2 linked regions of the Lepisosteus oculatus genome follow. Each later gene encodes a partner of the first gene's protein in a complex. Links are inferred from orthologs where the notes say so. Each region holds a gene or a part of one and is shown in the gene's direction. Other genes may lie near its edges. The genes, in order: adat3 and adat2.

Evidence for each region.
Region 2: the proteins of adat3 (region 1) and adat2 are in contact, whole or in part, in a crystal structure (PDB 9HMM), measured with the Mus musculus proteins. The link is inferred for Lepisosteus oculatus from reciprocal best matches to the Homo sapiens genes ADAT3 and ADAT2. Residues at the interface, in NP_001094076.1 of Mus musculus: Val217, Ala218, Pro220, Leu221, His223, Ile229, Asp230, Ala233, Gln236, Gly237, Glu270, Ser272, Pro274, Val276, Val290, Met291, Met294, Ala295, His298, Ala299, Pro311, Asp312, Leu318, Phe319, Val321, Arg324, Asp326, Leu327, Asn328, Pro349; in NP_080024.3 of Mus musculus: Val62, Asn63, Lys66, Asn67, Ala68, Thr69, His71, Met74, Ile77, Leu81, His85, Pro91, Cys107, Ile108, Met109, Ala112, Ala113, Leu116, Met117, Arg130, Phe131, Val137, Leu138, Ile140, Asp144, Leu145, Pro146, Asn147, Thr148.

What each region holds. Positions count from the first base shown.
Region 1 is NC_090707.1:20,772,587-20,780,517, forward strand, and holds adat3 (probable inactive tRNA-specific adenosine deaminase-like protein 3), read left to right. Parts: upstream 1-4,582; 5' UTR 4,583-4,736; intron 4,737-5,488; 5' UTR 5,489-5,494; coding exon 5,495-6,616; 3' UTR 6,617-7,080; downstream 7,081-7,931. Other genes in the region: osgepl1 (tRNA N6-adenosine threonylcarbamoyltransferase, mitochondrial), read right to left, coding at 238-386, 574-778, 1,321-1,708, 4,001-4,260.
Region 2 is NC_090697.1:18,898,644-18,906,934, forward strand, and holds the start of adat2 (tRNA-specific adenosine deaminase 2), read left to right. Parts: upstream 1-4,639; 5' UTR 4,640-4,661; intron 4,662-4,790; coding exon of another isoform or gene 4,791-4,863; exon of another isoform or gene 4,864-4,876; intron 4,877-4,973; exon of another isoform or gene 4,974-5,064; intron 5,065-5,522; exon of another isoform or gene 5,523-5,540; coding exon of another isoform or gene 5,541-5,554; coding exon 5,555-5,662; intron 5,663-6,384; coding exon 6,385-6,489; intron 6,490-6,914; coding exon 6,915-7,065; intron 7,066-7,757; coding exon 7,758-7,864; intron 7,865-8,166; coding exon 8,167-8,239; intron 8,240-8,291. Other genes in the region: pex3 (peroxisomal biogenesis factor 3), read right to left, coding at 130-251, 778-821, 931-1,012, 4,302-4,433, 4,560-4,635. UniProt on the Homo sapiens protein: Probably participates in deamination of adenosine-34 to inosine in many tRNAs.

The sequences.
Region 1 (7,931 bases):
ACCTTAACAGGAATGAACAAATAATGCACATTTTTTATGAAGAGCTTTTAACTAAACACACTCATTGCTTTTAGACACCGTCTATACAAAGTACTGCTAAGAAGACAAAATATAGTCTTCTTTGTAGGACACCTATGATTTTTTTAATTGCTGAACCCCCAATTTATTATTACTTGTTGTTCTTTGAACATACCTAGCTCTGTTCTTCTTTATAATAAATATATTCCACAAACTCACCAGAGTGGGGCTGTTTTGGGGCAACAGTCCCTTGGCTTTACAGAACAGTATCGCACGATGGGTGCGCTTTGCGATATGGGAAGCCACAGTGTGCTGCACTGCAGCAGCAATGTCATTAGCACAGGACAACATCTGACCCATTTGTACACCTGCAATAAAGGCACATCTGTTTAACACCCTTCAGGGACCGAAGCCTTGTTCTGCTTTTCAAATAGGATGTAGTCCACAGCAGGAGTAACCACTCCTGTTACTAATTCAACTAAGAGGTGGCATAAACTAGAAATTTTTCACAAACTGGAGAAATCTCAGGTTTACCACAAAGAAAAGCTTGCTTACCTTCCCCCTCTTCCTTTTTGATAATGACCTGAGTCACTTGGTTCCGAAGACCAGCAAAGGAAAAGTTGCAGTCCAAATGTTGGCCCATGGGTGACTTCAAGTAAAACTTTAGCCTGTCGCCTTGTTTAGCTAAATGCTCAATGGCCTGGCCACCACTTAAAGTGGAGCACTCTGGGTGTTTAATGAGGGATAGTCTTCTTGCTACCTGTCAATGACAACTGGGTTATTCAGTTTAGTGAATAATTTATGAATGTTTCAGCAATGTATATAGGAATAGAGTCAGGGTATAAACATTACCAAAACAGACAAAAGAAAAAACACATCTGAAAAAACATACAGATATTGTTCTGTGTACTTCTACTATTGTATAAATAAATATGCTCTTTTATTTTCCCTTCAGCATGGAATAAACCTTTACCTTTTCCTTTGCAACTTGCTCATGCTGAAGCAAAATATGAATTTCTTAAGTACAAATATTTGTTCACGACAGTAATGTACAGGGGCCACCGATGCTTCATCTTCTTTCCAATAACATAGAAAAACTGCAATGGAGAACATCCAGACAGACCCCTCACAAAGGAAAAGATGAATGTTCTTTATATTTGCCATTAATACTGCATTCTTTGGAAATATTTGAGCTGTTTATCAGTGCAGGTAAGTGGACTTACAGTTTTGAAACCACTTACACAATGCTCAAAAAATCCTCAACAGACCCTTTCTGAGAGCACATTCAAAATTTTTACGTACTTTATCTAAAGTGTCTCCTGGCGCTTCATCCAGTGATTGTCCCAGGAGAAGAAAGTCATCGATTCCATTAGCCACTGCCAGTAGACAGTGACCCCCAGACACCAGGAGCACGAGGAATGGGAACTGGACAGAGTGAATCATTCTGACAGTCAGTGCATGGGCTTCCATGTGGTGGATTGGGATGAATGGCTTTTTATACTGCTGTACGAATTTCAGACTGTACTCCAGGCCCACCCCGAGGCTCAGTGCTAGACCCGGTTTTACTGTGGTTGCAACAGCAGATAGCTCGTTTGGTGTAACTCCACTCATGGCCAAGGCCTGCTGGATCACTGTCGTTATGTGTTCCCTGTGCAGTCGTTGGGCCACTGTTGGAATGATCCCACCTGTTCTAAAGCAAAATATACACATGCATACAAATGACACCACTATTACTATTGCACATATTGTTACACCACAGTTTTGACCTGTAAACCATATTTAATACAGAAAGGAAATCTGAAGTAAGAAATGAGGGGGAAGGTGAATTTGTATTTAAAAAAATTCTGATTTACAAAGTTTTGTTATGGTGTATATGTAGTTACATAGTAAGAATAAAATGATATTATATAGAACCTATAAAAGTAATCATCTCAAAGCACTTTACAAAAATTGGCAAAAAAGCATAAAACATCACAAAATGTGTTTCTATAAAAGTTGGTTTTCAGGCTGGATTAAAAAGCACCCAATGTGGGACAGTCACTGATGTCTTTTAAGATAGTGGTCCAGAGCTTAGGAGCCATAGAAGGTCCTGTCACCCACAGAGTGTAGACGAACAATAGAAACACCCAGTAAACCAGAATCTCATGAGTGAAGGTTGCGTTGAGGGGAGTGAACAGATAACATATTGGCTAGATGCTGACTAGTTATACCATGTACATCCTTGATTGTGAGTAAGAAGAATTTTACAATCATCTTGAAACCTGGATTTTAAAACCATACTTGTGTGATGTGCACATGTGTGACATAGTTATTTCCAAATATGCTGTCATATCCTTGTAGGTATAGAGACTCTTCCGTGCAAGGCTTTGCAATACTCCAATCTTTGCATGTACAAACACATAAACCAGTTACAGACACACACAGAAAGTAGCCTGGGAATTTTTCTAAAAAAAAACAGACATTTATACAGTATTCTGCCCATGAGGTCTCAAAGTCCATCCAGAATTAAGGATCCCCATCAAAATCTTGCGTGAAACTCAAGCACAGTGCTGTCAACTGACAATTGTTACAGCACTGGTTTTATGTACCTGATGGGAACAATGACCTCTGTCTTTTCACAATTATGATGCAAAACATTTTGTTGCATCTAAACATTTATTACAGAAATGTAATTGGAGAGTACTGAAACTTGGTATCAGGATTAGTCTGGACATAAAATGAATTATATTCTGCATAGAAATGATAATTCAAACCATGTAATTTTAATGTTTAACTTAGAGTAAGCATATAAATATTAAACAGGAAATGGCTCATTTCTAATTCTACTTCATTTCAATTCCTGTGTAACACCAGACTAACCAACCAAACACGAGACCTAAAACCACCAAGAGAAAAATTCAAAGCTTATCAAGGAAAGAATTAATCCGCTACGTCTAAAAGAATAAAGACCATCCAAAATCAATAGCCATGAAGAAAGAATAAGAATATTTAACAAGAACAGTTTCAATGCTAGTGTATATAGTTTTTTTTAAATCCAGACTGAAACAGTTTGTAAAATGTACAGTGAGACCACCAGTTGCACTGCAAGAGCATGTTCTAATATTTCACAAGAAAAGGCAAAGCTGATGTGTGTCAGAAATTATTAAGACCACTAGGTCTGGTGGGTACAGTACCTGGTGTAACTGTAGTGCACTGGATGTCAGGAAATCATTTCTGAGGTTATTAGCAGGAAGGGTCATAGAGCAGAGAAACAGAAGTGCAATAAAACAAAGGGAATGAGTGGAGACAAGGACAACACAGTGGAGGAGAGGTTAGCATTGCTGCCTCGCAGTGCTGGGACCCTGGATCCAATTCTGGACCTGTGGTGCTATCTATGTGGAGTTTGTATGTTTCCCTGTAGGTGATCCAGTTTCCTTACAATACTGATGGGTTAATTGGATTCTGTGAATATTGACACTAATGTACATGTGTGTGTTTGTGTCTGTCCATTGGACTGGCATCTCGTCCAGGATGTACCATGTGTTGTGTTTGTTGCTTGCCTGGATAGGGTCAGGCTCCCCTGTGACCCTGGATTACAAGAAGCAGTTAGAAAATGAATGTAATGGGGAACAGAAGACGGATTTTATATGTGATGCCACTTGAGTATGACGTGCAGGAAGTGAGCTGCAAAAAGTGAGAAAAAGGAGAACCAGAAAAGTTAGGCATACAAGCAAGCAGTGCTCTATGCAAGAGTTGAGAATTGGTAATGGTTTATATATAAGCTTAGTTTAAATAGAAAAACATTACATACAAATTATAGTGGAAATTATTGTTTTCATTAATATTTTATCATATTTTATGAAGAATTTTTTTGTTTTTATGTGTAATTCTATTGGTAATAGATGGGTAAAATCCCTTCTTTAGGCAACTTTTGAAATGAGAAATTGTTCAGTTGACAGCCTGTGTCAATTGTTTCAAGGTCAGAATAAGGTGATGCACCTACTTCAAATGCACTTCTTTCTGAGAATATAAAGATTCTCCGAGGACTGAACCGGTCTCATCCATCACGGCGGCTCCTGTGTCATCACAGCTGGTTTCTACACCTAAAACGACTCGATGGTGGCTAACCGTACGAATACATGTAGTTCTGTATGAAGCCCAAGAAAGCACTTCTTTTAGTTTCCATTGATGAGGTTCAGTAACAGTAGCTCTTTGAAAAGCCAAGCCACACAATCGTGCACCGAAACAAGATAACAGTGACATGAGTTATATAATATAACATACGCTACTCATTATTTTAATACGACCGTGACTATTTCTTTTCTCCGATCCTTAATTCCATTAATTCTCACAACCTCTCATGCGTCCAGCGGCAATTAGTCCCCCGTGTAAATATTTCCCATTAGAAACAAACACCGAAATGCGCGTTCCATTTGCGTTGCCTGTACTGTTTTTAGAATTTTCAAATAAATATATTGACCATCCGACGTAATTTTATGATAGGTTCTTTTTTAACTAAAAATCATCCGAAAGTTAGGAGCGGAAAATTAATACTATACAGGAACCAAAGATGTGTACCAATTGTTGCCGGAAGGGCACATTATACACGTGCAACAGTGAGAACGTGAAAGGGATTGTAGCCATAAAATACATCTACTTTTTGAAATTATGACCTCTTTTTTTGATTTTCTGTGTTGAATCCGTTTCGGTATTGCTTTTTGTTTTTAGGGTGTATATAGGTAAGTTAATGGTAAAACTGAAAAAAGCTTCTACAAACAATTTTTAAACTCGTACTTCGTAGGAGCATCTGAACAGCAATTGCATATTACATTTTATTATTTAAATTGAAACTTGTTTATAACCCTTTAGACTTAATATAATGTTTGTGTTAATTGAATTTGTAATAAAAAACGTTTTAGATTTAGTTGAGATTTGAAGACGTTAAGACTAAATATTTTGTATGTGCATATTTATAAACTTATACTGGGTCTTATGGTACATTATAAGTATTTTTGTCTTACGTGAAATTATTTTATAGAAGTTTAATTTTTAGTGTCTACGTAGTACAGGAACTATATAGGAGAAAGACGGTAATGACAAAATATGAGGTTTTATTCGTTGTTAAAATAACATTTGCTGAAGTTTAGAAAAAGGATCCCGTGATTTGAACTAAACATAAATTTGTAAAATGCAGCATTTTAGATATTTTTTAGGACATCAGTATATATTACCATTTACATAAACATAAATATACAATATGATAAGCCCAGTTGTGTTGTTTTTAAATTTAAGGCAAAAATGGGCTTTGTCCATGACTCAGTCGTGAAATTGGTCTACATGTAAAGAAAATTCCTTTGGCAGATTGTAGATATTCATATCGGGATTTTATAAAGGAAGAAAGTCAGCAAACTCTCAGCATAATGTACTGCTTCCTTGCCCAACATTTTGCATTTCTGCTTCTTAAGAGTTTAAGCATCCCTTGTTTTGACAGGTTTTAATGGAACCACAGTGCAAACGCAGAAAAACAGAAGGTGAAGTGATGGCCTGGGCCATCTTACCTGTTCTTTCTGATGAGCAGTCCCAAGACATTGATTTACTGGAAGCCTATGCTGTGCCTATTCTTGATAAGAGAGAAACCTCTCGTCTTGTGAAGGAGCTGAGTGCCATATACCCCTTACAAGGCCTGAACCATATTAAGAGGGTACGTGCATGCAAAGACAAAGAAAGCCCACATCCTTTGGAAATGATTTTGTGTCTGGCGAGAGATATTGGACACAGTCGAAAAAACCAAGAGCTGTCTATCTCTGCTCTTTTGTCTAATGCCACTGTGGACAGCAGGGGTTTAGGTGAACCATTTATAGTGAAAATACCAGCATGTCCTCCTTTGACTAGACCTCAGTTTGAAAAAGCCAGCAGGCACTGGCCCACTTCCTTCCATGAAGACAAACAGGTTACAGTGGCACTGAATGGGGAGCTGTTTACTGCTGCTCAGAAAACAAAGATGGAGACGTACATGAAGTTGGCTATTACAGCAGCAAAAATCGGACAAGGAGAAGGCATGGAAGCTGTAGGTGCTGTTGTTGTTGATCCGGAGGAGGAGAGAGTCCTTGCTGTGGGCCATGACTGCAGGAATAGTCCTCACCCTTTGCTTCATGCTGTTATGGTATGCATTGACCTTGTGGCACATGGCCAAGGTGGTGGGGCTTATAGTTATGATAAGTACACTGCCTGTTGTTTCTTTAAAGTAGATAACTCGAAAGATCAGGCTAAAAGTAGCTGTCTGCCCTCCAAGGACATGTATATCTCAGAGCAGTCAAAGGAGAGTGGGTTGCCATATATTTGCACTGGTTATGATCTGTATGTAACAAGAGAACCATGTGTAATGTGTGCAATGGCTCTGGTTCACTCTAGAATACAGAGGGTCTTCTATGGAACTGCATCATTAGATGGAGCGTTAGGAACCAAATACAAAATTCATACCCAGAAAGATCTGAATCACCGTTTTGAAGTTTTTAAAGGAATTATGGAACAGGATTGTGTAAAGCTCACTACATTGCATCAATTAAATCATGTTCCAGTAGACTCACTGGATATGGATTTGGTTTTGGAGACATTGTAACCAATTCTGTGCTAGATTTGAGTTAACAACTTTCACATTTCTGTTAAATCATATAGAGAGATGCAGATGCACAAAAAACAGGTGTAAGTTTGCTAGGTAGGATGTGTTACTGCTGTGAAGTCACTGTATTTTTTAAAGATGAAACATTTTTTAGAAACTCATTTTTAAGCCCTTTGGTATGGACCCAATTGAAGTTATATTCTTTTTCAAATGTATGAATGTGCATGTTTCTTTTTTGTCTCTTAGAATAATGAGTTATTTAGAACTAAAATCTTTTTTTAACTGTTACTTATTTTGTTTTATCCAGTGAATAGTAAAACAGTTTGTCTATTTCTGTCTAAGTTTTCTTTTCTAAGTAATCTTAGAAAGAGGCTGTTCTTAAATGTATAGTGACTCTTAACAGAACAAACCAAAGTGCCTGAGACTGATGCCTCTTTACAAAAATAAAATTATTCATAACCATACTTCTTTGGATGCCATATTTTATGTAATGAGTCCATATTCAGCAGAGCTTTACCATAAACAAAGAAATACACTAATTTCTTGAAGGGCACAAATGATTTTATTGTCATAAGTAAACAGGCTGTTGAAAAGCTCCAAGAACACCTTGGATGAGCAGACCTGCAAGGGCTAGCTGCCTCAGCAATAACGAAGAGCTTTAAAAAGGTCCATAAACATGTCTTACAAACATACAGCCACATAAGTTTCAAAAATACAACATTTTCAGTTAAAGTCTTCTGAAAGAACAGTGCTTTAAAAGAAATCTTGAATCCAAGTTCACCCTTAAGAATTGAAACTTATAGTCTTACACAAAACTAAAAATTTGCTTACATTGTTCTGTAGACAGAAAATGTATTTTTTTAAATTTTCTAACAATGTGTACAGACAATTCAGTCAGTGGAAAAAAAAAACATGCAAAACAAATTGTTTCCTCCATAATTTAAGCCCTAATGAGCAAAGTAACAACATTAAATAAAAACAGCATCATCTTAAGTTGAATCACAGGCCCTTATTCAAATGAACAAATGATCTGTAAAAAGTATATTTTCCGTGGCTTGTGGGCAGAGTGCCTCTCTCAAAGATTAATCTGAATGGACTCTTCAGTACCAGCACCATTCTGGATGCAGTGGGCAAAGACCCCAAGCAACAAACACTACACTTCATGAAAATGCTTCAAGTCTAAGAACGGGGCCTGCCCAGTTCTTTAAAGAAATCCAGCGTTAAATAGTCATTTAAGTTAGTAATGCACATGTAAGTGCAGTAATGCATTTGCCTCTTACAAAGTCCCTGACATGTTTTTTCCAAATGCATTTAA
Region 2 (8,291 bases), on another chromosome or scaffold:
TGGGGTTGAGAAACATCTGTAGCAACACAAATTTGTGAAAGGGTACCAAAGGACAAATCAATCCAGTGCTGTGTTCTCGACATGCCTTAGGTCCATACCGGAGGCTCTGCTTCACAAAAGAATACCTACCGTTCCATTCTTGCTGACAGAGTTATCTAGGTATATGTAACCCCCAATGATGTTGAGCTGAACTCGTAGAAGAATAACCAGCATGCAGGTGCTGTAAACGGCTACTATGCTTCTAGCGAAACCTGGCAGAGAGTGGGAAAAGGAAATTAACCCCAGACTGTCAAACTCAATCGGGGAATAAGTGTCATTTCAGATTTTAAGGAATCGAAGGCAGACAGAAAAAAACCCTTCTAGTGCTGTAGGCTACAGCACGCCTGCTCAGTACAGCCAACGACAAGCCCAGTCATTCAGCCTCAGTGCTTAGCTGAGGAGCTCATGGTGTGAAGCTACCATCTGTGGCATTATAACCGAACAATTCTAATTCAGAACCCCCCTTAAAAAGTCATTCAACATTCCTTAACTTTGTACTAATAACAACAAAAGCTACAATTTAAAGTAAAATCTTCTGTATGTTACTGTCCACACCCCAACCTGTTTTACCAAGATGGGCCAAACAGAGTCCTCTCATGTAATGTAGCATTAGCATTCTTCAGAAACAGAATATGTAACTCTTTGTACAATCGTGTAGGAGCAGTAAAATTCAGTAATTGTACAATACTTACAACATAATAATAATACCCAGTATTAAATAGAAAGAATGGAACTTACTGATTATCTTCAGATCTTCCCAGATTTCTAACTTATTTGCTGGCCTAAAACAGAAAACAATAGCTTTTTATCATCTGCATGACAAGAACATTGTCAGCCCTGTTATGCGCTTTACTCATTTTTAAACAAAATGACACATCTTGAATTACTCACTTGTTCTTTAGCAAAGCTGTGAGGCTTTCTGAATGCAGGTGTTGTATAATGGCATCTCTTAGAGTTGGGAGCATTGATAACACTGACAACAAAAAAAGACAAAGCAATATGGTAACAACGTGGAAAGCAAATGTATTTTCCTGGGAAAAATCTTATGCCAAATTTCCCAGGGTCACAAACCTTGGCTAGACTAATATTCCTCTTAAAAATATACATAGTAATAATTCTTATATAGTGCTTTCAATATAAAAAAATTACAAATCACATCAAGAACATAAGAACATAATGATCCAAGAATCTCATCCAGTTGTTTCTTGAAAAAAAAAAAAAAAAGTATTGACTTCAACCACATGGCTGGATAACCATGTTACCATACTCCAAAAACCCTGGATGTAAAGAACTGCTTGTTGTTATTAGTTTTAAATGCACTTTCATGCAGTTACCACTTATGTCTTCCAGTCCATGTTTCACTGCTCTTTCAGAAAACAAAATCCACTGAGTTGACTTTTGTCAGTGCCTTTGAGGATTTTGAATAATTGTTGATACTCCCCTAGTCTTTTCTGTGCTAGTGTGGTGTATTTCCTTAAGCCCTGGAACGTACCTAGTTGCTCTTCTCTGGACGGATTCCAGAGCAGCTATATCTTTTCTACAGCATGGTGACAAAAAAATGTACACAATATTCTAAATGTAGGCTTACTAGTGTGTACAGAATATGGGGTACTTGCCCTACTGGTGTGTTAACACAGTTTAGACATTAAGTTTAGGATGGAGGGACTGTGGAAGCCTAGATAAAATTTAGCCAGAGCATCAGGGCGAGCAACTCTAGTCTTATGAACATCTTTAATGTTTCAAGGATGGCACATACTGTACAACAGCACAGTGTCCCCTGTCCCCTTACCAGAGCGCTGCAAATTCTGGTCAACAGGGAGGTGAGAGTGCCATCTAGTGGCCCACCCACAGCACTTAGAGCAGTAACCTGCTGTACAACCTACTGTGGTCAGCTTTAGAGCTGAGGTTCCCAGCTCTGCCTGGGGAACACTCTCTCTTCTTGTTTCTACTACATTCCAGTCCTTAATCATAGTGTCCCTGCTTGAGGAATTCTGGACCAGCGACACAGATAATAATGGATCAAAATCCGTGACAGTACAGGTCAGAAGATGAGCACCATTCCCGGTAAAGCACTACTCTGGAGGCACTGATTTATTTATAAATTTGCTTTCAAATCTTTTTAAAGGCCACATAGGATTGGGAATTGATACCAGTGCAGCACCAGTTCCTGGGTTTCACAACTGCCTGCTTTCCGGTGCGTTATCTGAGAGGAGCCAACTAAAGAAGGAAATGCAGCTAACCGTGAGAGTGGCTGCTGATCAGAAACTGACTGCATGTTAAGTGCTGTTTCGACAGAAATAAGGCTCAGCAAGGTGAGGAGAGGCAGCTTAACATTCTGTCTGCTGAAGATACTGCAGATACTCAGCACTGGAGATGTCGAGCTCAGATGGAATGAAAGCCCTGACTTTGAAGTCTTTCAGCCTGGTTCTGAGTAAGCCTGGCCGTGCTTAGCTTCTGAGATCAGGCTAGAAGTTTGTAACTCTGCTGTTATGCGCGTCAGTTAGTCTTCGTAATTTGAATGCACAGCAATTGAGAACGTGTGCTTTGATCAGGTTTGTACGTTAATTGGTTCAGCTGAGGCACTGTGGTTGTTGAGAACTACAAGGACACATTGTAGATAAGGATGCATTGGGATATTCATTTTTTTCATTTATGTTTACTACACTACCTAACCAAACAAATCACCTGCTTAAGTGGTCAAAACAAATTTGTCCTATGTTCACCACAGCTCAATACACTGTGAGCAAGTACAAGCAGTACAAGCATGGGTAGTTCCCATGGAGTTGAGAATTGCTAACATAGGGCCCATTGTTTAAAAACAGAACCAAGTAATTACAGACCAATAAGTCTGACCTTTATTGCATATGAAGTTAGTTAAAAAAAATCTTACTAAATTAGACAACCACTTACATGGGAAAATAATTACAGATAGTCTAGAAAATTAGTTTTTTCTTTGCTAACTCGTTAGAGATAGTTGAATAATGAACAAAAGTAATCTACACACACAGAGAATATCATAGAATATTTATGCTGTCAGGTTTTTTATCCATAAGTTACCCATTAATGTTTAATTTTCAAATTATAGGTAGTAGGCATTCTGTGAAATGTGTGTATTTGCATTGAGAACTGGTTAATAGAAAACAGAGAGGGAGTAAATGATAGGGAGTAAAGGCTAAAATTGGGGTGATGCAATTATAACACTATAGGGTCTGTACTAGGAATACAGCTCTTCCAAAGTTATATCATCTATCTAGTTTCTGTATAGTGAGTAAACTGATCAGGTTTGCAGATGCAACCAAAGTAGTACGGTTTGCAAATACTAGATAAGCAAATATAATTAAAATAAGATTCAGATAAAAAACAAAACTGGGCAAATATCTGGCAGGTGATATATAATGTAGACAAGTGCAGAATACTACCTGCGCATAGTAAAAATCTCAACTCGAAATACAAAAAGAGAAATGCTGAGTTAGAAGAGATTACTTCTGGCAGAAGACTGAAGTGTTTATGTAGACATCAATTACATCATCTAGGTAAGCGATAAAAAAGCATCAAAATATAAGAATAAATAATTAAAAGTAGGATTTGAATCAAAGCATGTTATGTTAAAACTACACAATGAACTAGTAAGGCTTAATTTTGAATATTATGTACAGTTTTGGTCAAGACATTACAAAAGAGATACTGCTGCTCTTGAATCCGTCCAGAGAAGAGCAACCAGATCCATTCTGGGGCTTACGGGAGTGTCCTACACTGACAGACTAAAAGAGCTTAACTTTTTTAGTCTTGAGCAGAAAAGACTACAAGGGGACTTGATCCTAGTACTCAGTCGCCAAATCACTGACAAAGCAACCCCAGTGGATTTCTTCAGAATCAACAAACAGACGGCACAAGTGGAAACTACGAGGAAGTATAAAACAAAAAACAGGAGGCACTTTTCCCCCAAAAGGTTGATGGAAACAAGCTAGCCAACCACACTGTTGAAGCTATTACCCCGGCTTCTTTCAAGAAATGGGTGGATATTATCCTCAGTTCAATCTCTCACCATACTGGCTGGAAGGGGCAAATGGCTTCCTTTCACTGGTAACCTTTCTTGTGTTATTTCTGTATACTATTGATACATATTAGATATTATTATATATTCAAATTTGAAGAAAAAAACGTTGAAGGATAACTGTGTGTAGCAGAGACACGGGATATTAGAATTAAGCTTAATCTTTGCTTATGTTTCTGGTGATGTGATGCAGGCATGTTGACGTTACCTGTCATGTTACACGTTCTTTGGTTACTTTCGAAGTGATACTGACGTCGGGCTTGCGCAATGTACTCTGCTGCTTCTCTCTCCTGAATTTCTCTGATTTTCCTCTGCGCATATTTACCCAGTAGGTAAACCCCTTCGAAAAAGAGAAAGAAAATAAATTAAATTGTACTGTATGTTATTGTCATCACTTAACTGACTTTATCACTGTTACTGTAACCTATATAATACAGATTTAACAGTACGCTAATGTAATACTTGCTTTTCCATCTTTGCAATTCACAACAGGCTTTGTCGACACCTGAAGAGCAAACTACTGTTGTCACCTCAGCAGGCATGACTTCTCGACACCTTCAGATACGGGGTGCTACATTATGATCAACTTTATGGGATACTAAGTACCTTTACCCTCGATATTACTGACGCTGCTAGTGGCGTAATGTGAATGACTAAAATGCAAATTTAAGACAACACGATACATGAAAATATTTACCTCCGACTAAAGCCCCTGCAAATATAAATTTTCTTTTATGACGTTTAAGGAAACTCCACGTGGACATAAACATTTCCTCCGACTTGAGGCAGATGCCAGACTACAGGTTTTTTCCGCGTTGACAGATTTATTTTCACAATCGTACATGAGAACTAGATAAGCTAAACACCGCTTACAACGCTCTGTACATCGGTGATCATCTAGCAATGCCTGCCCCACAAACAGTATCTACCCCCTGTGAAACTGCGACGAAACACAGGGTTCCGGTTTTATAGTAAGTAATGTGTAATGTGAAATACTGTTTCTCTCTTGGTTTTCATTTTTCTCCAATATACAGTTGAATGGTTCATTTACCACACTTCAAACACTTCGAGTTTATTAAAGTTTGACGTGTTAAATACATCTAAATGTATTATATATAAAGAAAAGTGTGTTAAAATTACGTGATTTCGTTTTAGTCGGTCGAAGTACTAACTGAATAAAACCTTTAAATATTTTCACCGTGCTTTTAAAATTGTTTTAGGTAAATCTGTTTTTAATAACAAACGTTAAACAACAACAGAGAGTCACTTTTATCAAATCTTGATAAAAACTGGATGCGTTTATCTCCTCACATTATACAGTATTAGTCTTTGGAGCCATTGACATGCCTTGTGTTTGATGTGTACTTCCAACTCACAGTTTTAACCCATTTAAGATTATTTCTACTCGATATTTTGTTAACCTTTTCAGAGTTTTTGTGTGTCAAACCTTTAGGGTAATCCATGATGGGGACGGAATATGAAGAAAGTTTTCCGGGCGAGAAAAGTACTAACCACTTTCAGCCCTCTTCGGAAGAAATACAGGGCTGGATGCAGAGAGCTTTCGATATGGTAAGAACGGTATTTATAGTACAGTATGCTCGCAATGCGTGTTTATCTGTTGTCTAAATAACTACTCAAACATCAATGGGCATAGTGTGAAAATATTTAATGTAATGTGATACAGCATGTTTGCTTTCTACAGTATAGTTTGTGCAATTTGATTTTTTCCTGGAACAAATTGTCTGTAAGAGATGGATTATTCCCTATCACTGTAGCCAAGAATGAAACAATAGAAGTCTGTATTTTTGTCTGAATTGGGGCAAGATGAACTGGTAGCAAGGAAAAAACAAACAAACTTTATAGCTCTTTCAATTTATAGCTCAAGATTTAAATTAATTGGAAACAATATCCAGGGTGGCTCTGTGGTTAGCATTGCTGCCCTGCAGTTCTAGGACCCCGGGCTCCTTGCTAGACCTGGAGTTCTCCCCTTGTTACTGTGAGTTTTCTTTCTGGTGCTCCAGTTTCCTCTCACAGACAAAGACCTACCCATAGATTAATTGGCTTCTGGCACAGTTGGCCCACGATATGAGTGTGTGTGTGTGTGTGTGTGTGTGTGTGTGTGTGTGTGTGTGTGTGCCTGGTGTCCTTGTCCTGGAGGTGTTCTTCCTTGTACCCACTGCCTACCAGGATAGGCTCTGGCTCCCTCACAACCCTGAATTGGACAACGCATTTAGAAAATGGATTGATGGATGGAAACAAGACCCTGACCCTTTGTTTTTGCAATTTTCCAGTCTAAAGAAGCCTTAGAGAATGGAGAGGTGCCTGTGGGATGTCTCATGGTGTACAACAATGAGATTTTGGGAAAAGGGAGAAATGAAGTCAACGAAACAAAAAACGTAAGTTCCACTTCCCATCCTCTAGGCTCATCCAGGCATTGATGCACATAATTTAAAAGTACTAGAGTGGAGAAGACAACTTGTCTGCTGTAGGATTATTTGTACTTGTAGCTCTTCACTGAGGATCAGTTTTTTTGTACTGCTGTTTTATGTCGTAAGAAAAATCATAGTTCTATTTCAGTGATATGCCTGTATATTCAGAAAATGGCAAATGGAAGTCATATGAGATTGGCGTAGGAACTCTGTGAGGCTCAAAGCTGAAATCTCCTGTGTTACTGGACTGGGATTTACATACATTTTGCCAGTGCGTCCAGTTAACATACACCTGTTAACATGAGAAAAGAAAGTTAATTAACTATTTGAAACTTAGAAACAAGATAGGGCTCTAGTAGTCCATTCACCTGTTTTTCCTTTGTGTGTTGCAGGCAACACGGCATGCAGAGATGGTAGCGTTGGACCAGGTACTGGAGTGGTGTCGTGACAATGGCAGGGATTCCAGAGAGGTGTTGGACCAGACTGTCCTGTATGTCACTGTGGAGCCGTGCATTATGTGTGCGGGAGCACTTCGTTTATTGAGTATCCTGCCCGACGCCTTTGAGTAACTCTTAAGTCTAGTCCAATCCAGACTGTTGTGATACACATCCCGCAAAATGCAAAAATTTACCACAATGATCCGGCTTAAAGTGAAACTGCTGATCCTTTATTCAAACAAAGGGATGGCTTCCTTTACTATTTAAGAATCCCTGCAAAAGTTATTCTCTGAGGACTATTATTTGTTATATCATTATTAAAGGAAGAAGAAAATCAAGTGTACTGAATGAAACTGTTTAGCGTTATGCTACATTATTAAGTTTATACGATATATTAAAACATTTGTGACTGCCTATAGACAGGTTATATTTTGCAGACATGCAGGAATTATCACATGAATTAAAGAAACTCATCTATAATATTACTGGTGGGAGACCAATTTACTTTTTTTGCAAGATTAGATGTTAAAAAAGGGTAGGAATTGCAGACCTTCAGTATTCCTTAATTTCACAAGTGGCACAACACCTAGTAAATTATACAGCAAATGGGAGATTTAAGAATACTTTTTTTTAGAGGGATTTGATAAGATTTAACTATAGTAGTTGTGTATACTAGTTGTGATAATACAGAAGAAAAAATAAAAGAGAAAATACATCATTTCTTAATTAAATTGTTAATATAGAGAATACAGACATTTTTGTTCCAGAAAAGTTTTAATGGCCTTAACATTTTAACAGAAATCCCACTAGTGGTTTATGGTTGCAAAAATGAGAGGTTTGGTGGCTGTGGGTCAGTGCTCAACATCCCTGAAGATGAATTACCACACACTGGAACACCATATAAGGTACAGTAGTCCATTTCCATTTTAATCTGGACTAAAAGTCCGATGGTCAATGATCTGGTATAAGAAATCTTTTTTGTCTGTGAATAATTTAATTTCAGTTATGATATGCTAAAACCAAAGGCAGTGGTTTCTGTGTTGCATAAAAATAGGAAAACCAGAAAAAGTATGAGTACAATGTGTCCATTTATAAGTAATATACTATATAGATACAATTTATATGGTTGTATAAATATTCTTGCTTATTTGTATATTTGATTCAAAGTTATAGCCTTGCCTTAATTAAAAGAACTGTTTATTCTCAGTGTATTTCAGGATACAGAGCAGAGGAAGCTGTGGAAATGTTAAAAACATTTTACAAACAAGAAAACCCAAACGGTAAGAGGCCAGAACTGCAGAATCATTGTGCCAGTGTGTACAGGGGACTAAA